3 linked regions of the Lytechinus pictus genome follow. The protein of the gene in region 1 binds, or shares a complex with, the protein of each later gene. Links are inferred from orthologs where the notes say so. Each region holds a gene or a part of one and is shown on either strand. Other genes may lie near its edges.

What was found. The genes of interacting proteins can lie anywhere in the genome.
Region 2: mediator of RNA polymerase II transcription subunit 16-like (region 1) and mediator of RNA polymerase II transcription subunit 21-like share a complex: the UniProt entries of both Drosophila melanogaster proteins name them as parts of the mediator complex. The link is inferred for Lytechinus pictus from reciprocal best matches to the Drosophila melanogaster genes MED16 and MED21.
Region 3: mediator of RNA polymerase II transcription subunit 16-like (region 1) and mediator of RNA polymerase II transcription subunit 4-like share a complex: the UniProt entries of both Drosophila melanogaster proteins name them as parts of the mediator complex. The link is inferred for Lytechinus pictus from reciprocal best matches to the Drosophila melanogaster genes MED16 and MED4.

Annotation. Positions count from the first base shown.
Region 1 is NC_087257.1:27,439,913-27,446,739, reverse strand, and holds the start of mediator of RNA polymerase II transcription subunit 16-like, read left to right. Parts: upstream 1-2,624; 5' UTR 2,625-2,777; coding exon 2,778-2,827; intron 2,828-6,827. UniProt on the Drosophila melanogaster protein: Component of the Mediator complex, a coactivator involved in the regulated transcription of nearly all RNA polymerase II-dependent genes.
Region 2 is NC_087246.1:11,387,516-11,394,342, reverse strand, and holds the start of mediator of RNA polymerase II transcription subunit 21-like, read left to right. Parts: upstream 1-2,690; 5' UTR 2,691-2,752; coding exon 2,753-2,794; intron 2,795-4,868; coding exon 4,869-4,950; intron 4,951-6,572; coding exon 6,573-6,703; intron 6,704-6,827. UniProt on the Drosophila melanogaster protein: Component of the Mediator complex, a coactivator involved in the regulated transcription of nearly all RNA polymerase II-dependent genes.
Region 3 is NC_087260.1:10,321,696-10,328,522, forward strand, and holds the start of mediator of RNA polymerase II transcription subunit 4-like, read right to left. Parts: upstream 3,661-6,827; 5' UTR 3,638-3,660; coding exon 3,570-3,637; intron 2,437-3,569; coding exon 2,376-2,436; intron 33-2,375; coding exon 1-32. Other genes in the region: eukaryotic translation initiation factor 4E type 2-like, read left to right, coding at 6,433-6,452. UniProt on the Drosophila melanogaster protein: Component of the Mediator complex, a coactivator involved in the regulated transcription of nearly all RNA polymerase II-dependent genes.

The DNA of each region.
Region 1 (6,827 bases):
GATCAAGGGGAATGCCATGGCCTCCGCAGGAGTGATCATAGCCATGAACAGAGCAAAAGGAGTCAAATAGAGCATTCTCCTGTTCCTCAGGGGTCACCGGAGGGAGACGTTTTGGTTTGTCCCTGCTTCGGCATACGTTCTCCATGTGATGGAATCTATCACAGTGCCTGCATTTGTGTCCATAGGCATCACATTGTGTCTTACGGACGTGAGCAGGGGCACCCCGTCCATGTCCCTTCTTGCCACAGTAGTTACACAAGTCTTGGCCTTCCTTGAGGTGCATTTGCTTAATTGGTTTTCCGATATGAGCTGCTAGCGGAGTTTACGACGTGAGAGTCCAGGAGGGATGAAGCAGAACGCTTGCCAGCCTCCTTCGCCTCGATGAACTGGAAGACATCTTCTAACCCAGGACCAAAATCCAGCTGAAACCAATTAGAGCAAAACCAATTGAAACCAGTTGGCCAACTGGTTTCAATAGGGAAATTGGAACAACTGGAACCAATTGAAACCAGTTGCCAACTGGTTCCAGTTAAAACCAATTGGGCAACTGGAACCAGTTGGCAATTGGTTTCAATTGGTTCCAGTTGAAACCAATTAAGCAACCAGTTGGCAACTGGTTTCAATTGGTTCCAGTTGTTCCAATTTCCCTATTAAAACCAGTTGAATCCAATTGGAGGTAACTGGTTTCAATTGGTTCCAGTTGAAACCAATTGGAGGCAACTGGAACCAGTTGAAACTAATTGGTTTCCAACTGAATCCAATTGGAACTTCCAGTTGGAATGACTTAATTAGTTACAAATTAATTAGATTTTGCACTAACTATTGCTCATGCCAACAAAGAAGCAGTGCTCTATGTCTATAATACCATTGTTAAGTGCATTGATAAAATAGACTTTCATAATGTATGTATATAACAAGAAAGATCTTCAAATATATGTATTTGTATTTGATGTAATTTGGTAACAGTTAGTGATGTACTAATTATCTTATAATCTGTTTTAATTATAATATATAACATTTATGAACATGGTTTTCACTGCTAAGCATTCTAAACACTTATCTGAAACAAGTATGGTACTTGAAATAGAAAAGAATTAAATATATACATTTTAAATGATGATGAATCACATAAAACATTAATCTGTGCACACTGGCAGATAATATGCAAATTAACTGGTTTCATTGGAACCAGTTGGGTAACTGGAAAATTTCCAATTGGAAACCAATTGGAAGTCATTTCCACTGAGTTACCCAACTGGATCCAGTTAGGATTTCCAGTTACCCAACTGGTTCCAGTTAGGATTTCCAGTTACCCAACTGGTTCCAGTTAGAAATCATTTCCAGTTGGAAGTCATTTCCAGTTACCCAACTGGTTCCAGTTAGGATTTCCAGTTACCCAACTGGTTCCAGTTAGAAATCATTTCCCGTTGGAAGTCATTTCCAGTTACCCAACTGGTTCCAGTTAGGATTTCCAGTTGCCCAACGGGTTCCAGTTAGGATTTCCAGTTGCCCAACTGGTTTCAATTGGAAATTGTTATATTCCAGTTAAAACCAATTGAAACCAATTGAAACCAATTGAAACCAGTTGGAAATCCAACTGGTTTCAATTGGATTTTGGTCCTGGGAAGTCCATGGTCTGGTTCTTGTCCCCCAAGAGGTCGAGCTGATCGAATCTCGGGGTCAGCGATTCCCCTGGTCAGGGCATCCCGCAGTATCTCATCAGTGTAGTTGACATCCATAGAGCAACCAGGGCACTTAATGATGAACTTACAGATCCCTGCTTGACCACGTAAGCGGGCCCGAAGCTGCGGACTGTACTCATCCCGGTCCTGGCGCATGTTATGTAGCGCCACTCGAGCTACCATGGTGTTTTCCTCACGCACAGCGAGCCTCTTGATTGCCGCCAGCACCTCTGCTTCAGACTTGGTGGTGAGGCTGACGCCAGAGGATCTTGTATAAGGTCCTTGCGAAGAGGCTCATCGCAGCATTCAAGGAGTTGCACGACCTTGTCCTTAATTGCCAGATATCTTGGTAGACTCCACATAATCGGACCATCGAGAAGTGAAGTAAGCCCAGTCCTCGCTTGTACCGGCTGCAACTATGGTGGGCCTCTTGACCTTCTCTATCTTGGCAGCAGACCCTGTCCCAGCAGAGGCATGAATTGTGGAGTGGGTCGTGAGCAGGGCAGCAACAATAGAGGCATCCAGATCCGGCGTGGCGTAGTCGCAGCCTGGAATTGGGCAGCATACGGTAGGCATGGTGGTAGCTAGGCAGGTTTGAACACAAAAGCTGTGAACATAAATGGGTTCTTGTACCGTTTGTCTTTATCCAGTAGATGCTGAATCAGCAATGTTCACAGCTGTGGAAAGAGCAGAACAGTAAAGTTAGAAGTATAGGTTTTAGAATCCTCTAGTGGATGCAAAAAGAAAATAAGGAAAAAAGAAAATTAGAGGAGGAGTACATTACAATTCTATTTTTTGATATATGATTTATGTTTGTTCTTTTTTTTCATTATTATTATTGTTGTTGTTTTTTTTTTTTTTTTTTTGTTCTTCGGGGTGCATTGCGAATATTGAAAGAAATCAGAAAAACAATAAAAACTGCCTTGAACAAACAAAAAACGCGTCACTCTCAAGCGCCATCTACGTTGATGAATATTGAGTTGGTTGCAGCAGCCTGAATTTTGCAGTTTTGCCTAAAAGTGAATCAAAATTTGCGAACCTTTCAAATCAAGTGTTCCTTTTACAAATTAATGAGAAGCATTGGATACTGGGAAGATGGAGCTTGCATTTGTTGCTGACTGGCCGAAAACGGACGCTAATGTTTGGTGAGAGAACTTGTTCAATGTGTCCCATACGTTCATATTTGTGTCAGTGAATTAGATATTGAACATGTTATTGTTAATGTCATTTCTGTGACCCATACGTTCATATTTGTGTCAGTGAATTAGATATTGAACATGTTATTGTTAATGTTATGTTATGTTATGTTATGTTATACCTAGCCAGGCGGCTTCTAGAGAGTAAAAATCATTTACTAACGTAAGGTCACTCTCATGAAGCCAGGGCTTCCGTCATATACTTTTGTGTGTACCACCAAAAAACCTGAAACTTTCGCCCCCGAGATTTCTACTTTCTTTTTAAAAGATCTAGCCCTAAAATCTAAATCATGTACATGGGATAAAACTTTATTTCCGACATTTCTACGCTCTCGTTGTTATTTTTTAACAAGAATTCATCAAAAAAATGAGAGAAATATTGTGTAAAGACGAAAGAGACTTGCCCGATGTTTACGCCGCCATCTTGTTTTCTATTGTTCTTCCCCAACGTTACCCGAACGCACGCGTCTGTAACGTTGGCGAAAGTAAAGAAAGTAGAAATCTCGGGGGCGAAAGTTTCAGGTTTTTTGGTGGTACACACAAAAGTATATGACGGAAGCCCTGGCTTCATGAGAGTGACCTTACGTTAGTAAATGATTTCTACTCTCTAGAAGCCGCCTGGCTAGTTATACCGAGGTTGTTTTACCTGACTGCTAAGAAAGCACGAATGCCTATGTTAAAAGTAACTTCAGATTTGCCAACATTTAGCTATCACAGCCGGTTTGAAAGTACGACACTCTCGTATCTGTCACCGTGTTAAATTGGTGAGATCAATAACATAATTTCGACAAAACACTCAAACTTTTTTAAAAATAAGAATGGTAATAATGGTATGTAACTGTAAGGACTAGGCCTAAGGGAAATAAGTTTTAATTTTTTATGCCAGACGATTACATTTAAAACTATCACAGCTATCACAGCCGGTTCGAGAGTACGACACTCTCGTATCTGTCACCGTGTTAAATTGGTGAGATCAATAACATAATTTCGACAAACACTCAAACTTTTTTAAAAATAAGAATGGTATGTAACTGTAAGGACTAAGGAGTAAGGGAAATAAATTTTAATTTTTTATGCCAGACGATTACATTTAAAACTTACATCATGTGTCTTGACTCTTGAGTTTGACTTTGAGGTCCATTAATTTTACAGAGACGATCTTTTCACTCGTACATCCCAAAAAAGTCGCCATCTTGAAAATATTAAGTTTTGTGGGATCTTACTTCCGGGTTTTATTTTCTCCCTCATATCGTCGCTATTCGATGAAACATCAATTTTCTCTCTTTTCGAGCATGATTCCGAGTTCGAAAAGGTCTTTTGATGCTGAAAATATGAAATGGGTAAATGGATGAACAAAATTGTGTTTTAAAAGTGATTTTTTGTTTGCATAATTCATGAATATTATCAATTTTTGTTCGGCCTTTATCTTTTATTTCTCAGGTGACGTTTTCTTGATGCTGATGTATGAATTAGGGAAGGTTTTTTCTTTGGGCGATGGCCAAGCCTTGAAATAAGCACCTGAGAGCCGGGATCAATTTTTTTTTTTTAATTGCCCCCGGCTCACAGGCTTTTTACAGGAACCGGGGGCAATTTAGAAAAAATATATATAAAAGTGAACCACACCGCAAATTTGTTTATAGTAAGCGCAGCTCCTACAATTTTTTAATTAGTACATGAATAGCATGCTAAGTATTAGGCTTATTCAAACATTTAAGAAATCAGATTTAAATGTTTAAGTGTGTTTTGACACCCTCACTCCACATCCCCTTTACAACCACACACACATGGGCTTATTTATTTTTCATCTTTAATGAACCACGAACAATGAACCCCCCCCAAAAAAAAAAAAATATGAATAAAATGAAAATATAAAAAAGAGAGAGATGGAGAAAGAGAATTCAGATAAAAAAATAATAAATTTAGAAAAAAAATAATAATTTTTAAGGTTTTTTTCATGGTTAGAATCACGGGTGTGGGTGAGTGTGACTGTGAGGTGCACTTGGATTGCATATAAATTATGTTAAAGACATGAAGAAATTATATCAATATCTAACTCAGTCTATTCAAATTCCAGCACATAGCCACAGGCTATGTACATGTATTGTAGGTTCATGTACCTTAAGTTTTTCACAAGTTATTTGAAAACGCAGATCTCCACAGAAAATGCCTTTCATTCTGGGAGAGTCTAAATTCGGTGAAAATGTATTCATTAATAACTTAAATATTCATCACAATGAAGAAATCATAAAGTTTTTTGACAGTTTTCAAAAATTAACATGAAATCTAAACTGTATCTGAAACGGAAAATCACCATCACTTAGGCCATTACTGATAGAATTCTCACCCAGAGCTCTGGCAGAGAACATGAGCTCAAACTGGCTAGCTAACACCACACTCAAGTGCACAGCATCCTCCTCTTTTTTTTTTTAGATGGAGCCTTGTTTGATGATTTATTGTCTGATATTTACCTCTCTCCAAGAAAGAAATTAAAAAGCTACAATTCACAACTATAAGCTAAGTGATTTTGGATTATTAAGGCTCCGTTTTGACAAGCAAAGTCGGCGACTTTGAGGATAAAAGACTCGCACATCGTATGTGCTGTGAACAGGGATTTTAACGGATTTATCTCCTGTGCAATTGGAATTACTATATCGCAGAATTGTGATATCCCAACTGGAAATGTGTGCATTAGAAATTGCATATGGTGAAGTATGGAAAAACCGCTACCGGAAGCACGCGCGCACATGTATTACAGAAAAAAAAAGACGGACGTAGCTCACTTTTTATGGTACAGAAAAAAAGACGCACTTGGCAATTTAAACTGTGTTTATCGTAAATTGAAAGTTACTTGATTTTGGCTTTTAAGATATTTAAATTACATGTATGATATGGCTTCACTGCTCACTCACGGCGGGCGCAATTACCGGGAAAATATTTGCGCCCGGTCGTCAAAATTTTGATGATTTTGGGGCTTTATGGGCGCAATTGATGGCTTTATGAGCGCGAATTTGCACTCAGCGCCCGCTTATTTCAAGGCTTGGGGATGGTCATTTTCCGATTCAACAAATGTGTTGCATATTGCCCTCAAAGCTCAAAGGTCAAGTCCACCCCAGAAAAATGTTGATTTGAATAAATAGAGATAAATCAAACTAGCATAACGCTGAAACTTTCATCAAAATCGGACGAAAAATAAGAAAGTTATGACTGTTAAACTAAAGTTTCGCTTTTTTTTCACAAAACAGTGATATGCACATCTCAGTGACGTGCAAATGAGACGGTCGATGATGTTCCTCACTATTTCTTTTGTTTTCTATTTGAAATATATACAATATATAATTTGTTACAGATTTGACAATAAGGACCAACTTGACTGAACCATATAGTATTAGACAATGCTAATTCCACATGTTCGTGGAAGAATTAATCGTTGTTTCACTTTACAAAGAGGAGAAAATTAGATTATTTCATATTTCATATAATATAATACAAAAGAAATAGTGAGTGGATGATGTCATCAGTCTCCTCATTTGCATAAAGACCAGGATGCGCATATAACTCTTTTGTGAAATTAAGCGAAACCTTAAAATGTCCCCGTCATAACTTATTTATTTTATATCCGATATTGATAAAATTTTCAGTGTTATGCTTGTTGGATTTTTCTCTTTTTATTCAAATGAACTTTTTGTTGGGGTGGACTTGTCTTAAACGCAAGTCGATGTCGGACTAATGAGTCATAATTTTTCTAGAGTTTGAGCAGGGATGAACTGGCATTAATAATGACCCTTTTGAAAATTTTGTTTGATATAAATAATACGTACTTCTAATGAATAACAAATGTCACATTCAACTTGTGCAGTGAGGTTAAATGAATGGGTCAACCAGATCCACCCATGGGTGCACAGGAAAATTAAAGGCACGGCGCTGGCAAAATTGCAACAAACTCCTTAAG
Region 2 (6,827 bases), on another chromosome or scaffold:
ACGTTGCATTGACTTTACATTAAGACAATGACCACAAATTTGGATGAATATGCGCAACTTAAACTGGAATAACTTTCTAATTTCTTGATGAAAATTAAAGTTCTTGGTATCATTTTAAAGGTCTTTTTAAGAGCTTTCAAGTGATACCAAATTTATTCATATTTGATGATTTTCATTTTTTTTGTCACATACCTACAAATAGGCCTAAATTATCTGCAAACATATTTTATTCGTCTGTTAAAATAAACAAAATATTTGTAAATGATGTGATATCTCACAAAATTGTATAAAATTTGATTTAAAAGCAAGCTTACGAATTGTATTTGTTTATCATAAATTTGATAAACACCCCGCTTATACTAACTAGTTGTGTGAGTGCTTTCGTGAAATCGGCCCCAGGGGCCCGTTTCTCAACACCTGGACAAGTTAGTCATATCTTTATCCACCAACCACGGAGTTAGTTCCAATCTTACTAAACCTGTTTCACGAAAGGCTTCCTAACTAGAATACCGTGATATCGATACTATCGGTAAAAACAGCAGACGAGACGTAGCCTTAGTCACAAAATATCATAATTTGCAAAAAGAAAAATTATGACAAAATTGCAAATATTGTGATAAATTGGGAAATACATCTTTTCAAAATAATAGCACATGTAAATTATGCATCATACATACTTAGACCATGAAGATTGGAGCATTCAATTGCTGAGAAAATTAAATTATGAATAGTTTATTTCATGACTAGAAAATCACATGTGGACGTTGAGATGGGTACCCCCGTGACATCGAATTTTAATAGTTTACGAAAGTAAACCATAACGGTTTTCTTTTTAAAATGATGATAATTATACGCCCTTCTACGATTCCAAACATCATCAAAATATAGTTTAACAAAATCAAAAATAAATATTTGATACCGAAACATACGATTTGACAATTTCTATGCATAAATTAGAGATAGAATTTATCCAAATGTTAATAGGGGTCTGAAAACAACAAATACGAGTCCAGTTATGGATGGCCTGACGTGGTAGAATCTTTATCGATTAAATCATTTTACTATTTCAAAGTGAATGGTTTTGTGGCGTTTTACCAACAGTTTTTATAGTTTCTTTGTATTAGAATTATCATTGAATGCATTATCCCACTTGTTTTATGATGTAATTTCAACCTCTATGATTGATTACGTAAGATTATTATTTTCAAATTTCTAGGCACTTTTGCATGTCATAGTCTACCCATGTGTAGACCAAAAGCTTCAGTCTCTGTATTTTGGTTGTTCCGCTGAACTACGTTGGCTCCACTCACAAAGCTTCAGTCTCTGTATTTTGGTTGTTCCGCTGAACTACGTTGGCTCCACTCACCATACATAGACTGAAGGGGATGGGGCCCCGTACCTACAGCCAACGTATAGTGAACTAGCGTTTTATAGATCGCGATTTAAAACTGTTTTTTAAGCAAAATTGAAAGTTTCATGGTTTCCATTATCAGGTAAATATAAATAACTTAAGTAATTGCATACCTTGGGCCGGAGTTATTGAAAAAAAATCCTCTGGATGATTGAGAAATATGTCATCTAAGACATTTTCACCTGACTTGACGGTTTTTCTTGCAAGTTGCCATCTTGAATGACGTCATTATCGTTATTAACTTAATGTCTCGAATCGATATATCGCGATTATAACTAGTACTAGTATCGTTTATCTTCGGTTTCGTTCGCATATGGAGCAGATCGTATAATAATTAATATCGAAAGCAATATCGATATCACATTCGTGATTGTTGACGTTCGTTTGTAAATATTTTATAGTTTGGCTGCCATTTTGACCATTTTTATCGTGTTCAACCCAATTAAACATCGGTAAAGTATATTTTTCATGCCTTTTTCATCTATATCGTTTAAAGTATTTAAACATTGAGATATAAAGCTTTAAAAGTTTGTTGTTTATACATCCTTAGATTGTAAATTCGATGTGTAAAATTACATCAAACTTTGGACTGTGAATTGACAAAAGGGAGGGAATGAGAACACATGCGAGCCCACACGTACACCCTACCGTCGGTAAATGGGGATTACAGTAAAATGTCAGAAATTGTTGAATAAATCCCCAGAAACGACGGTTATTCGTCTAACCCATGTGATGCTGCCACTACGTCATTAAGAAATAAGTTATGACAGGTTCGGAGGTGTCATAAATATTTAGTGAGGTTGTTGTACCTGATCTTGGTAAAGAGGGCTTCGTGAAACGGTTAGCGGACAAGTAGCTCACTATCTCCGATTTAGTCAAGAAGTTAGACTTATGACGGTGTTGAGAAACGGGCCCCAGGCCCCTGACGTCGCGTCGAGCGCGAGCGAGAGGATACGGAAAAAAACAAATCACACCCCCCAAGTTTCGGGCGATGCCTTCAATGCATTTTCGACAATATCGTACTTACCTCCCCGGTGTGCGATAAGCTTCGCGTTAATCTTTGATTTCTTCTTCGAATGAATCAATGTCGGATATCTGAACAACACAGATGATACAACAATATATCCACCTATTATAGACAAAGGTATGGCGTATGCAAGAGTACTCATTTTGGACAGATCTCAACTTCTTCCTCCTAATGTCTACTTTGATTTGGGAAACTCGCCGTGACTTTGCAAATCATCAATCTCCTTAGCTTTAATTTTTGCATTTGATCATAAATTTTGACAGTGCGCCATCTACTGTTAAGCTTGCTACAGCTGAGAAAACAATAAATTGGCGATGGCAGACCGTGTCACACAACTTCAAGACGCTGTAAATCAGGTAATATTATTTGCTACTGATGCATATTATAATTTGATTAATTGTGAAATTGTTTGAATTACAAAAAAGTGGTTTGATAGCAAATGGTAATCTGTCAAGATTGTAATAATACTAAGTTTCTCAATCAAAATATATGCCGGCCCCACGTATTCGTATTTGTGATGTTTTTTTTAAAGCCAGGAAGGGTCACACTCACAGGGTGGCCACATCCCATGTCTAGTCTGCTGGGCAAACCCTTCGCTCGAGTTAAGGGTCTGAATGTGCAGCCTACTCATGCCTTGTGTACTGAAGGCTCTCTCGCGAACAGCAAGTTTTGTATGTGCTAGTCTTTGCGTGGAGGCACACTTGTTGATCAAAGTTCCAATGAGGGTCTGTGCCTGCAGACTATCCCATGACATGTCTGCGCACTCACACGTATTGCGAGGTTAGTATGCTATATACAGTACTAACCTCGCACTACGAACGTGTTTACGCAATGGATTTTAGAGTTTGTCGGTTAACATCGCTTCATAACCTTGTTCATTGAATGAGTGTCATATCATAACGTGAATAATGTTCAACATTGACTTTGTTAGCCGAAACTTATTCCGCTGACTCACCAGGGGCACTCACACGTATTGCGAGGTTAGTGCTATACAAACCTCGCACCACGTACGTGTTTACAGTATGGATTTTAGAGTTGTCGGTTAACATCGCTTCATAACGCGAAGAATAAAATGTTCAATTTTACGAATTTTATTAATGGAAAAAGCATGCAAAAAAAGAGCAAAATCGCTTACCTCGGCCTGGAAAGTTGCTTCACATGTCTCTTCGACGGAAATAAAAGGAAGGTCATTGGTGGTGCTAATACAATTCACAACCTTAATTCAGATTGTCGGTATTTTTTAAACTAGATTTGTATTCATTGTATGCGCAATTCCAATGATTGTTTGATAAAATAGAGACACCAATAAATGCAATTACAGTACTTAAAAAACATACTTTTTATAATATTTGCTGACGATAATACTTTTTTATTTTTTTTCAAGCATCGATAATACTTTTTGGAAAATATTCAAAGCGATGACAAATTAAACAAAAAATATAGAAAATTCTATGTACCTTAAGTGCTACCGTTCATTTGTCAATTAACGTTCCCCCAAAGTCTTTACAGTAAAAAGATTGGACACTTTGCCGACTTCGCGTAACGCTTTGCATCAATTTACGTGTAAAATGGTTTTTGTGCCTAGTCTTTCCCTTGTGGTGTCTTTGATATGAAGATAAATCGCGCGCCCTCTTTAGCTCATTATACAAAAAATTTGGGAGATGGTAGCAGGGTCCGTATTTTGCCAACAAGAAGAAAAATCAACGCTTAAATGACGCAATTTGAGGGATATTCATCATATTAGGGGGAATTGACTTGACATCGTTCGGAAAGTTTCTTATAAGTACTTAGTTTTACAATTTTTTGGGGGAAATTCGCGGGAGTTTGATTCAATTTTGCATGCGCTGTTCCTTCAATTTTCCTGTAGACGGCGGCAATAATGCACCCATGGGTGCACCAGGGCGTTTTCGGCATTAAAATTCTAACCCAGGCAGGGACTGGTCCGTGTAACTGTAATATTAGTTAGCGGGTACTCTCCAAAATGGGGTAGAATGGGGTCGCAATAGCGCCCCAAATAAAAGGGGAAAACATAAATAATGCACTTACCTAGATTATAATATATGGATGAAGGTCTATCGTGTCACAGAATCCTGACATCGAGGCATAAACTGGACCCTCAAAAAAAGGAAAAGTTCTGTCACGTTCGTTCTCCTTCTTTCAAAATTGAAAACAAAATGGCCGATCGAGAACGAACGCGACATGGAGGTCTAACTTTTCCTTTTCTTGTCCTCACCTGCTTCAATTTTGGAGGCCTCAATATGTTTTTTTATTTTTCATTATAAAAACGGGATAAAAAATATAAAAAAATAAAACTAAAAAAATCCCCAAATCCTTTTGGAAAACATTCAGAAACAGTTCCTTTTGCAACACCCCCTCTCTCTCTCTCCATATTCCTCTGTCCATCTGTCTAATATCTCTTGTTAATTTCAGCTTGCTGAGCACATGTGCAATAGCATTGGTGTACTCCAACAGAGTGCTCAGCCGTCCAAGTTCCCTGGGTGTGAGAAACAAGGTACGTATGTCCATGAATGTCATGAAGATTACAGCTCTCTATTTTGACTAAAGGAAGAAAGTAATGTTTTTAGTGCGTTCACATTTTACAAATGTATTTTCACAGAAACACAATGATAATGCTATGAAGCCTACAGTATGCACACAGTGGCAAACTGCCAATTGACTGTGTTCAACGTACATGTATAGCCCTGCTCTACAGAGCAATTCAGAGACCACTGATTGATTCATCCCGCAGATCACATAATGACCACGTGTTCACCACAATTATTTGTTCAATAGGTGTGCGAATGTATCAATAGCGATAACGTTATCAGGCCACCTTTTCTGCACATGATATGATTATTTAATTTTTATTCAGCAATTTCATGGATATTCATGCAACGCTCGCAAACCCGGAACTCAATTGACTCCGTATACATTGTGATAGATTCTGTGAACACTAGCGAATAAAATGAAACACCAACGCTATTGGGTAAAATTTTGACAGAAAAGCAAGAAGGTAATTGAAATATGCTATAGGCCTACCTGTGCTGTATCTGTTTGAAAACAGATTCTCAAAAATATCTCTCACAATTCCAAAATTCATATGAAATATAGGAAAGTGTCAAAATTCTATGTCGATACGAGGTGATAAAGAATTGAAGTCTTGTTTTGATAGAATGCTGTGCTAGGTACTGGGAGGTTTGTACTGCGCATGCTTACTATAATGTCATTCATAAATTAGCTGGTGATAGTGGCTGGATGATGTCACGTAATATAAGCAAAAATGTAGTCACTCGCTGAGACAAATGCTATGCTATCCATTTGGTGCAGTTTGCCACTGTGATGCATGTTGTGTCAATGTAAATTTCAGACATTTTTTGCTGTTTACAGGATATTGCACCTTTAGTACTTGCTTCCTTTTGTCAGAGTAGAGCAAAATTGCTACCAAAGTTGTTGTGACAGCAATTATTTTGAAATATAATAACGATAAAAATATTTTAAAGGTTTTTAGTGTAGGCCTAGCTCTGGTATTGACAGAAATTGATCTCTTAAGTGCCTTACAAAATCATGTACAAATAGTTATAAAACATAATTTTAGTACAAGTGCAAGAATCTGTATTTTTTTTTATATGATCCTTTTGTAAACACACACATTTTTGCCATTGGCTGCCATATGTGTAATTGTTCTAATAAATAAACCATGAATATATGAAGTTTTCTTTGAAAGTAGTAGATTTTTATGATTTTGGCAAGTGAATATATGGTGTGGTACTGCCAAATGTTAAGTATCCTGTCAATTTTAAAATATTTAGTAAGTGCTTTTAAAACTGTTTTATAAAATGGGATAGGCCTATCTGATTTCACTACCACAAATGCTTGGCAATGTTCTAGTGGATTTATGGTTTTTTTTCACAATGACTATTAATCATCCTACGGGCCTTATTTTGTAAGAAGTACAGTATCTGTCACTAAAATACATATATTCTTATTTTTAGTTAATTAGAATAAAGTAACAAAAGACCAATTAATAGGGCATTGAGGCTGGTCAAAAGGTCATTCATGTCCATGGCATTGGATGACCTTTGATTCATTTAATCCCTGCAGTGATTTAAATTCTAATCTGCCTTTAACCCTTAGCCTCTCAAGAACAGCAGCCTAATCATGAGGATTACACTCAGCTCTTTGCTCAACTGATTGCCAGGACAGCCAAGGACATAGATGTACTGATAGATTCTCTACCAAGTGAAGAATCTACTGTTGAACTTCAGGTAATACTTTTATACAATTAACATTTCTATAGCATGGTAAACAGGTGAATTTGAATTAGTCAAATTTGTTGGGCCACAGAAATGTATTCAGCAAAATTTGATTTAGGAAAAAATAAATAGCACA
Region 3 (6,827 bases), on another chromosome or scaffold:
TCTTCATTCTTCTTCATCAATATCTCCATAATCTGTAGATTAAAGATAAAGACAAAACACATGACAAATCAAATTTCCAATTAAAAAAAAAATTGCTACTCAAAAAATTTAACCTACTAAACAATTTTCAATTCATTTTTTAAAATTCAATTAATTTATCTAACCATCATCAGTTATAATACAATTGCAGAGATACATAAAATTAATCATCATCAGACATATTGCATATCGCAAGGCTCCACATTAACTTTTTTTGGTGGTGGCCCGTTCGGGCCACCAAAACCATCAAATAATTTTTTTTGGTGGCCCGATATTAAAGTTTGGTGGCCCGAAAAATATAAAGAAAAACATTAAAAATGAATAAAACAAACTTCTGAAATATTAATTCTCATGCAGCCACTACCACTACCACTATGTTACTTTTACTTTATACATCTTGTATGTAAACCTTGTTTGCTGTTATTTTACTTTGCTAATTGATAAATGTTTCTATCGTTGTAAAAATGAAATGATTGAAAGAGAATAAATGAATTGTATTGTTCGCAGGTTGTGTGGACTTTTTTAAAAATCTCTGTATAGAGATAATGGTAAAGTAAATAAGTAGTGCATAGCAAATTCAGATAGATGTACAAAACAATGGTTTTTCCTTCCTTCCTCTTTGAATCCTAAAACCTAGATTATGCCCCAAATCCAGTTTATTTCTGTTTTCTCTTTAGCAGCATATTATAGAAGGAGAAAATCACAGAAAAATATGCTGCAAAATTAGAACAATGCATAAAAGGGGGAAACAAACGAAAATAATTTTCAAAAAGTATATTACAAAAAGAAAACAAAAATAATAAAAGAAATTAGTGAAATAAAACAAAAGAAAGAAAATGAAGAAAGAAAAAAACAAAGAACAGGGAAAAAAAGAAAAAAAAGAAAAGAAAAAAATTAGAGAGAAAAAAGAAAAGAAAATGAAAGAAAAATTAATAAAACAAAGTTAATAAAAAAATGGGGAAAAGGGGAAAATTAAGAAGCCATTACATATATTTTTTAACAGCTGTGGCAACAGTCTATTCTGACTGGAATATAATTATTAAAAGCCAAGCAAATAATTTTCACTTACTTTTTGGGAATGGCACATTTTTATTTTTATATCCTTTAGTTTGTATTATTTTATTTTCAGTAGAAACATATTTTTTAATCAGGCATATTCAATGGGAAGGGGTATAAATGGTTTAACCACTGTCAAAAAAAATGAAAGGAAAAAAATAAGAAAACGGCAAAAATTATATCTGGTGATTCTGGATAAAAAGTGTGAAAAAAGTCCTTCCCTATATTTGCCAAAATGTTGGAAAAAAAATCACATTTCATATCAATGAAATGCCTTCCCAAAGTATTTACTTTCTCAAGAGTGGTTTAAGAAGTCATTTATAAACAAGAAAGAAAGAAACTGTCTGTTTGTTTTTGGCTAGAAAATACACAGCTTCGAAAGAAACCAAGTATCAACATACATACAAATGCACATGTGGGACTGTGATGTGTTTTTATGTGTATTAATTCATGTGGAAATCGGTCTTTTTGAGTCAAAAGAGAGGTCATAATTCCTCTTCTTAATACTTGCAAATAATCAGGGTACACCAGATTTTCGTAATATAGACTGTAGAATTGCATTTCATTGGTGTAAAATGTGACTTTGACTGAGATTTTCAAAGTTCTGTGGAAGATTTCTCAGCAGCAACATTTTTTATCGCAGCTCCCCGAATCTGAGTAGGCTGAGCTAGATCTAGAGCACAGCTGTATTCAGTGGCTTCATGCAAAGCTCACGCCAGCCGGCCGGCGCGGTTGGCTGGATAATAGCTGCTGTATGCTATAGCTGTAGGCCTAATATGCAAACTTTGTGTGTGTGTATTTGTGTGTAGATCAACAAAAAGGGCGCATGACGAACTGGCTTGCAATTTGAGCTGTAGAAAGTTGATAAATGCGTGCAAAATTGGGAGAAAAATTGCGCTACTTTGAAAATTATTGGTTGCCCGATTCGGGCCACCAAAACTTAACATTTTATCAATAATGGTTGCCCGAGGTGAATTTTTGGTGGCCCTGGGCCACCGGGCCACCGCTAATGTCGAGCCTTGCATATCGATACAAATACCAAAACATACATCCATAAAATGATGGTTTGGTGACCCAGGAAAAGGCATAGCTTATAAAAAGGGGCCAAGTTAAAATACACACTGAAAATATGATATTTACACTATAAAGTATATTGACACAACAACAACAAAAAAACAATAATTAGAATTTTCTGTTGATCCATTATTTTTGTTTTGTTAGATTTTGCTTTGTTTTTCAATTCTTAGCTTAATGTCACACAGTCATTAAGAAGAACTTACTTGAGGTTCATCAGGATGAGGAACTCTTTGCCTAACTGCTGATGTCGCCTCACCGAGGTCTCTGTGTAAAAAACAAAAACAAAAACACAAATTAATATTTTTCAAGAGCTCCTTTACAGATAAGTTTGCAATTCTGACAGTATTAGAAAGAAAAAAAATACAGTATGTTCTGTAAGTGTAATGTTGTGGTCTATGACTGAGTTAGACCAAAAGCTTCGGTCTCTGTTATGTTGGTTGTTCAGCTGAACTCCGTTGGCTTCACTCACCAAATACAGAGACCGAAGTTCTAGCGCGATCTGTACAGGGGACTCAATGGCCATATGTTTATGTACTTAAGATCGGATAAAACGGGGAAGTGAATTTGCGCGACAGCCGAGGTAAGTCACTGTTTTTGTTCCTTTTAACTCGATTTTTCACCGTTTCTTGGCAATTAATGCCAAGAGGGAATATCAATTTGCATTTTGGTCGCATTAATTTTCAAAATGTTTATTGATTAAAGACAAAAATTGAAGAGCCCCGACGGGGGGATTTTGCATTGCAAGTCCCCTAATGGTGGCTGCACGCTAGCGAGCCGTCTGTGTATGAGGAGAACTTAAAAAAAAAAAATGTTAAAAAACTCCTCAAAACAGACGGCTGCCAGCTGTCTATGACTGAGTACGACTTATGAGCATGCAATAAAGTGAGATGTATGCCAACAAAATATCCCTCTTTCCCACCGTTTATCCCTCCTTTCCATTGTTTCTTTTTCTTTCTGTCTCTCCTCTTTGCTCTAGGCCTAGTCTTACTTCCCCATTTCATTTTGACTTTACTTTTTCTATTGCCCCTTTTGTTTTATTCTTCTTGGGTTCTCACCCCTTTTCCTCTTTTTCTGTTATTATTCATTTCTATTTCATTTCGTGCACTTTCTCTTTTACTCGTAGAATCTAATGCTCTGTTTTTCTTTCCTTTCCTCTCATCTTCATGGTATATCAATCCCCAGCAAAGTAGTAGCGCTGCCGCTGGCTCCCTCCTCCAATCGCGGCTGCCTGGCTTGGGCTGGCCGAGGGCCGAGGGCGAGGCGAGAGTCGTTCAACATCTGAACAAGGCCAAGCCCAAGTTGTCATTACAAGAGTTAGGTAAGAGAGAACCAAAATCGTTCATCAAATGTATTCATCACATCACCAAAAATACACAGTATAATCAAATTTATCTCACTTTGTTAACACTTCTGCTTCTTCCACAAGAGAAAGAAGTCTTGATTTTGCCGTCATGGAAGCCGCCATCTTGCTTTCGTCGTGACAGAAGTGAACGTAGATGGTGCTCGACTACTTTATAGATTTGGCAAAAACTTGTGAGTGAAAATGTACCGTATGTAATACATATATTTGCCCCTTGATTTGCCCCCACCACGGGGGGAAAGGCAATCTTTCAATAAAGTTCAAAGAAAAATAAAAACAAAAGAAGAAGACCAAAAAAGAATACTAGATGAAGCTTCATCCTCCATTTTTTCACCATCTGTTTTGGGTTTTTTTTTTCTTTTAATTATTATCATTTTTTTTTGCATGATTAGCCGAGCCCCCTCGATCCCTTTTCAAGACCCGTCATGCCCATGCATTAAATCATATATTACATTTTTTTTTAAGAAGGCGATATCCAAGGTGCGGAATAAATGTTATTTATCATCAAAACTATATAATAATAATACTTTACGCTCTTTCGTGATACAAGGTCAAGCCCGGCCATGCAGTGGCGACGTGAACCCAAAATTTTGAGAAGGCCAGATATGGCATATTGGGAAATTTTTTTTTTTTGCGAGCGAGTGAAGCGAGCGAGCAAAATTTTTGACACCTTTTCACATAAATCCAAATTTGTGATAGATTTTGACATAATATTCAGAAAATAATATCTTTCACCCAGCTCTTTTTCCTTTCTTTTTCTCTTGGTCTGACAAAAGGCTCCCCCCCCCCCCATTTGTATAGGCCCTTCGTACATCACTGGTCAAGCCGGTCTATAATATACTCTTTTTTCTTTTTTAGGTGATTTTTTACGGATTTTCAGTCAAATTTGACTATTTAAGCCGAATTTATTTTCCCTCATATAAAACTACGCAAAAATAAGTTCACAATGGTGACCGGCTAGGAGATTCAATCAAAATTCATAACGTAAGAAATATGAACTATTAACATGAAAATTGTTTAAAGGGGAAGTTCACCCTAAAAATTATAAAAATATTGGTGAAGGTTTGAGGAAAATCCATCAAAGGTTAAGAAAGTTATAATATTTAATTAGAGTTTTTTTTATTTTTTTGGGTCATATATGAGCAGCTGCCCCATTATAAAATGCATAAATTTTAAATTTGCAGTGGTTCATGATGACTCATTAATTGTTTGATTTCTTTCAGGAGTGGGTGTGACATATTTTTTTTGATTGGTATAGGCCTATACTGATCGAAGGTACAATAAAAACCATTTTCAATTTTATGAGAAAATGAATTTCCATTGTTTGTTTGCTTTTTTACCATACGATATGTGGAAGCTGCTCGCGTATGACGTCACAAATCCAAAAATTGAAATTCTAGTAAATTAAAAAAAAGTTCTTTTAGGGTTTTTCCTCAAACCTTCACCAATGTTTTTTTTATATTATTTCTGCTATTTTTACAACTTTTGTCAGGGTGAACTTTCCCTAATCAGCGGTGGTGAGGTGGTGAGGATTATTTTTCCCCATTGCTAATTTAGCATGAACATGCTTTTAATCGCCTGTTGTCAGTTGTTTTTTCTCTCTCTCGTTGGCCCTATGTATGATTCATTAATACATTTTTTTTCAATGTTAATATTTTTGGTGATTTTGCTTTTTTTTATTCTTGCATTTATACAAGCCACGTTTCTTGGTCTCTTTTACATTTCTTTTCTTTGTTTTTAAGCATACATTCATACATGTACTTTTGAAAATGTTTTATCTATCTTTGATATTTATTTATTGTATTTTTTGCAGTGTTATTGCCAATTAGCAAGTGTCAGCTCATTTTTTTATGATTGATTTTTATTTATTTATGTAATTGATAGGCCTATGTATTTATGAAGGTCTATTTCTGATTTGTGTGTTGAAAAATGGATATAGAAATGAAATAAACCACTGAAAAGAATTAAATTCTATTTACCATTTTTATGTTTTTGTTGTTGCTGCATATTATGGTCTATACGATATAATAATTTTGTATAGGCCCTACACATTTTCGGTATGTTGTTGGTATTGGTGGCATTCAGTTGCTGAGAACAGATTATAGGCGAATTTTTCTTCCTGATTTCTTTTTGTTTGACAATGAATCATATAACGACACATAAATATAATGAAACATACTCAATATCTGTATTTTTTTTTCTTGTCATTATAACCTTTTTTTCGGATATAGATCACCACGAGGGATCGGGGATATTTGCTCTTACCTTTTAAGCTTATAACATCAGACACGATTTTTTTTTAAACTTAATTACTTAAAAATGTTCATCTTGAGAAATCACATGGGATTGGGATTGATTTTTAAAAAATACATGTATATTTCATCAATAAAAAAGGGTATATTTATCGATCTAATTGCATCGAATGATCTCGAAGTCTAATCTAGCTGGGCCAGTTCATTTTAAAGGAAAGCTCTCTCTTGCTTTCATTGTTATTATTATTATTATTATTAGGCCTAGTAGATCTAGAGGTCTAGATCCGTCGCGTCCACATTGATTTTTGGTATAAATTTATACATAAATTGGATATGAATGTACCCAAATTAGACGAACCACCCTCTCTGAACAGTGAACACTTCCGGTAAACAATAATAATAAAAAAAACCCTAAAAATTATAGCCCCCACCGGCCCGGCTGGCTGGGCCCCCTCCTGCCCGGCGCCCCCGACCGGCGGCGCGGCCGCGCCGCGCCGGCCGCCGCGCCGGCAAAAAAACCGATAGTATACTTATCGATATCGATATCGTGAACGTGCGTGGATCATTCTGTATGACTTGGAATTCAGAAGATTACGAGATTTCAACCGTGAATTATCTGCATTTAGACCTCAACAAGGGGACCTAGAGATGAATAACCAATTTGACATGTAAGAATACTAATTATTTAGTGCAGTTTATATGATTTTGGATGTAACGTCTGTTATATTCTACAGCTGGTTTCAAATGCCAGTCCCACCTATTCATTTTTATGTTTTATTTAGCCTATTTATTGGGCGCGAATGCAGTTTCGCACCAGCGGACTTCGAGAGAATTCCCTCACCAGTAATTGTTCACAAATGTCATAGCAAGTCATAGTAAGCCCACCGCTTTTCAGAATATCGAGATAGGGAATCCCTGTATTTTGGTTGGATCTCGACCTAAGTTACTGTCCTAAGCCACTCACACTAATACTTAATAGTAATACGAGGTTCGTATATATATACGAACCTCGTACACCGGACCTTGTTTGACCGTAGATTTTG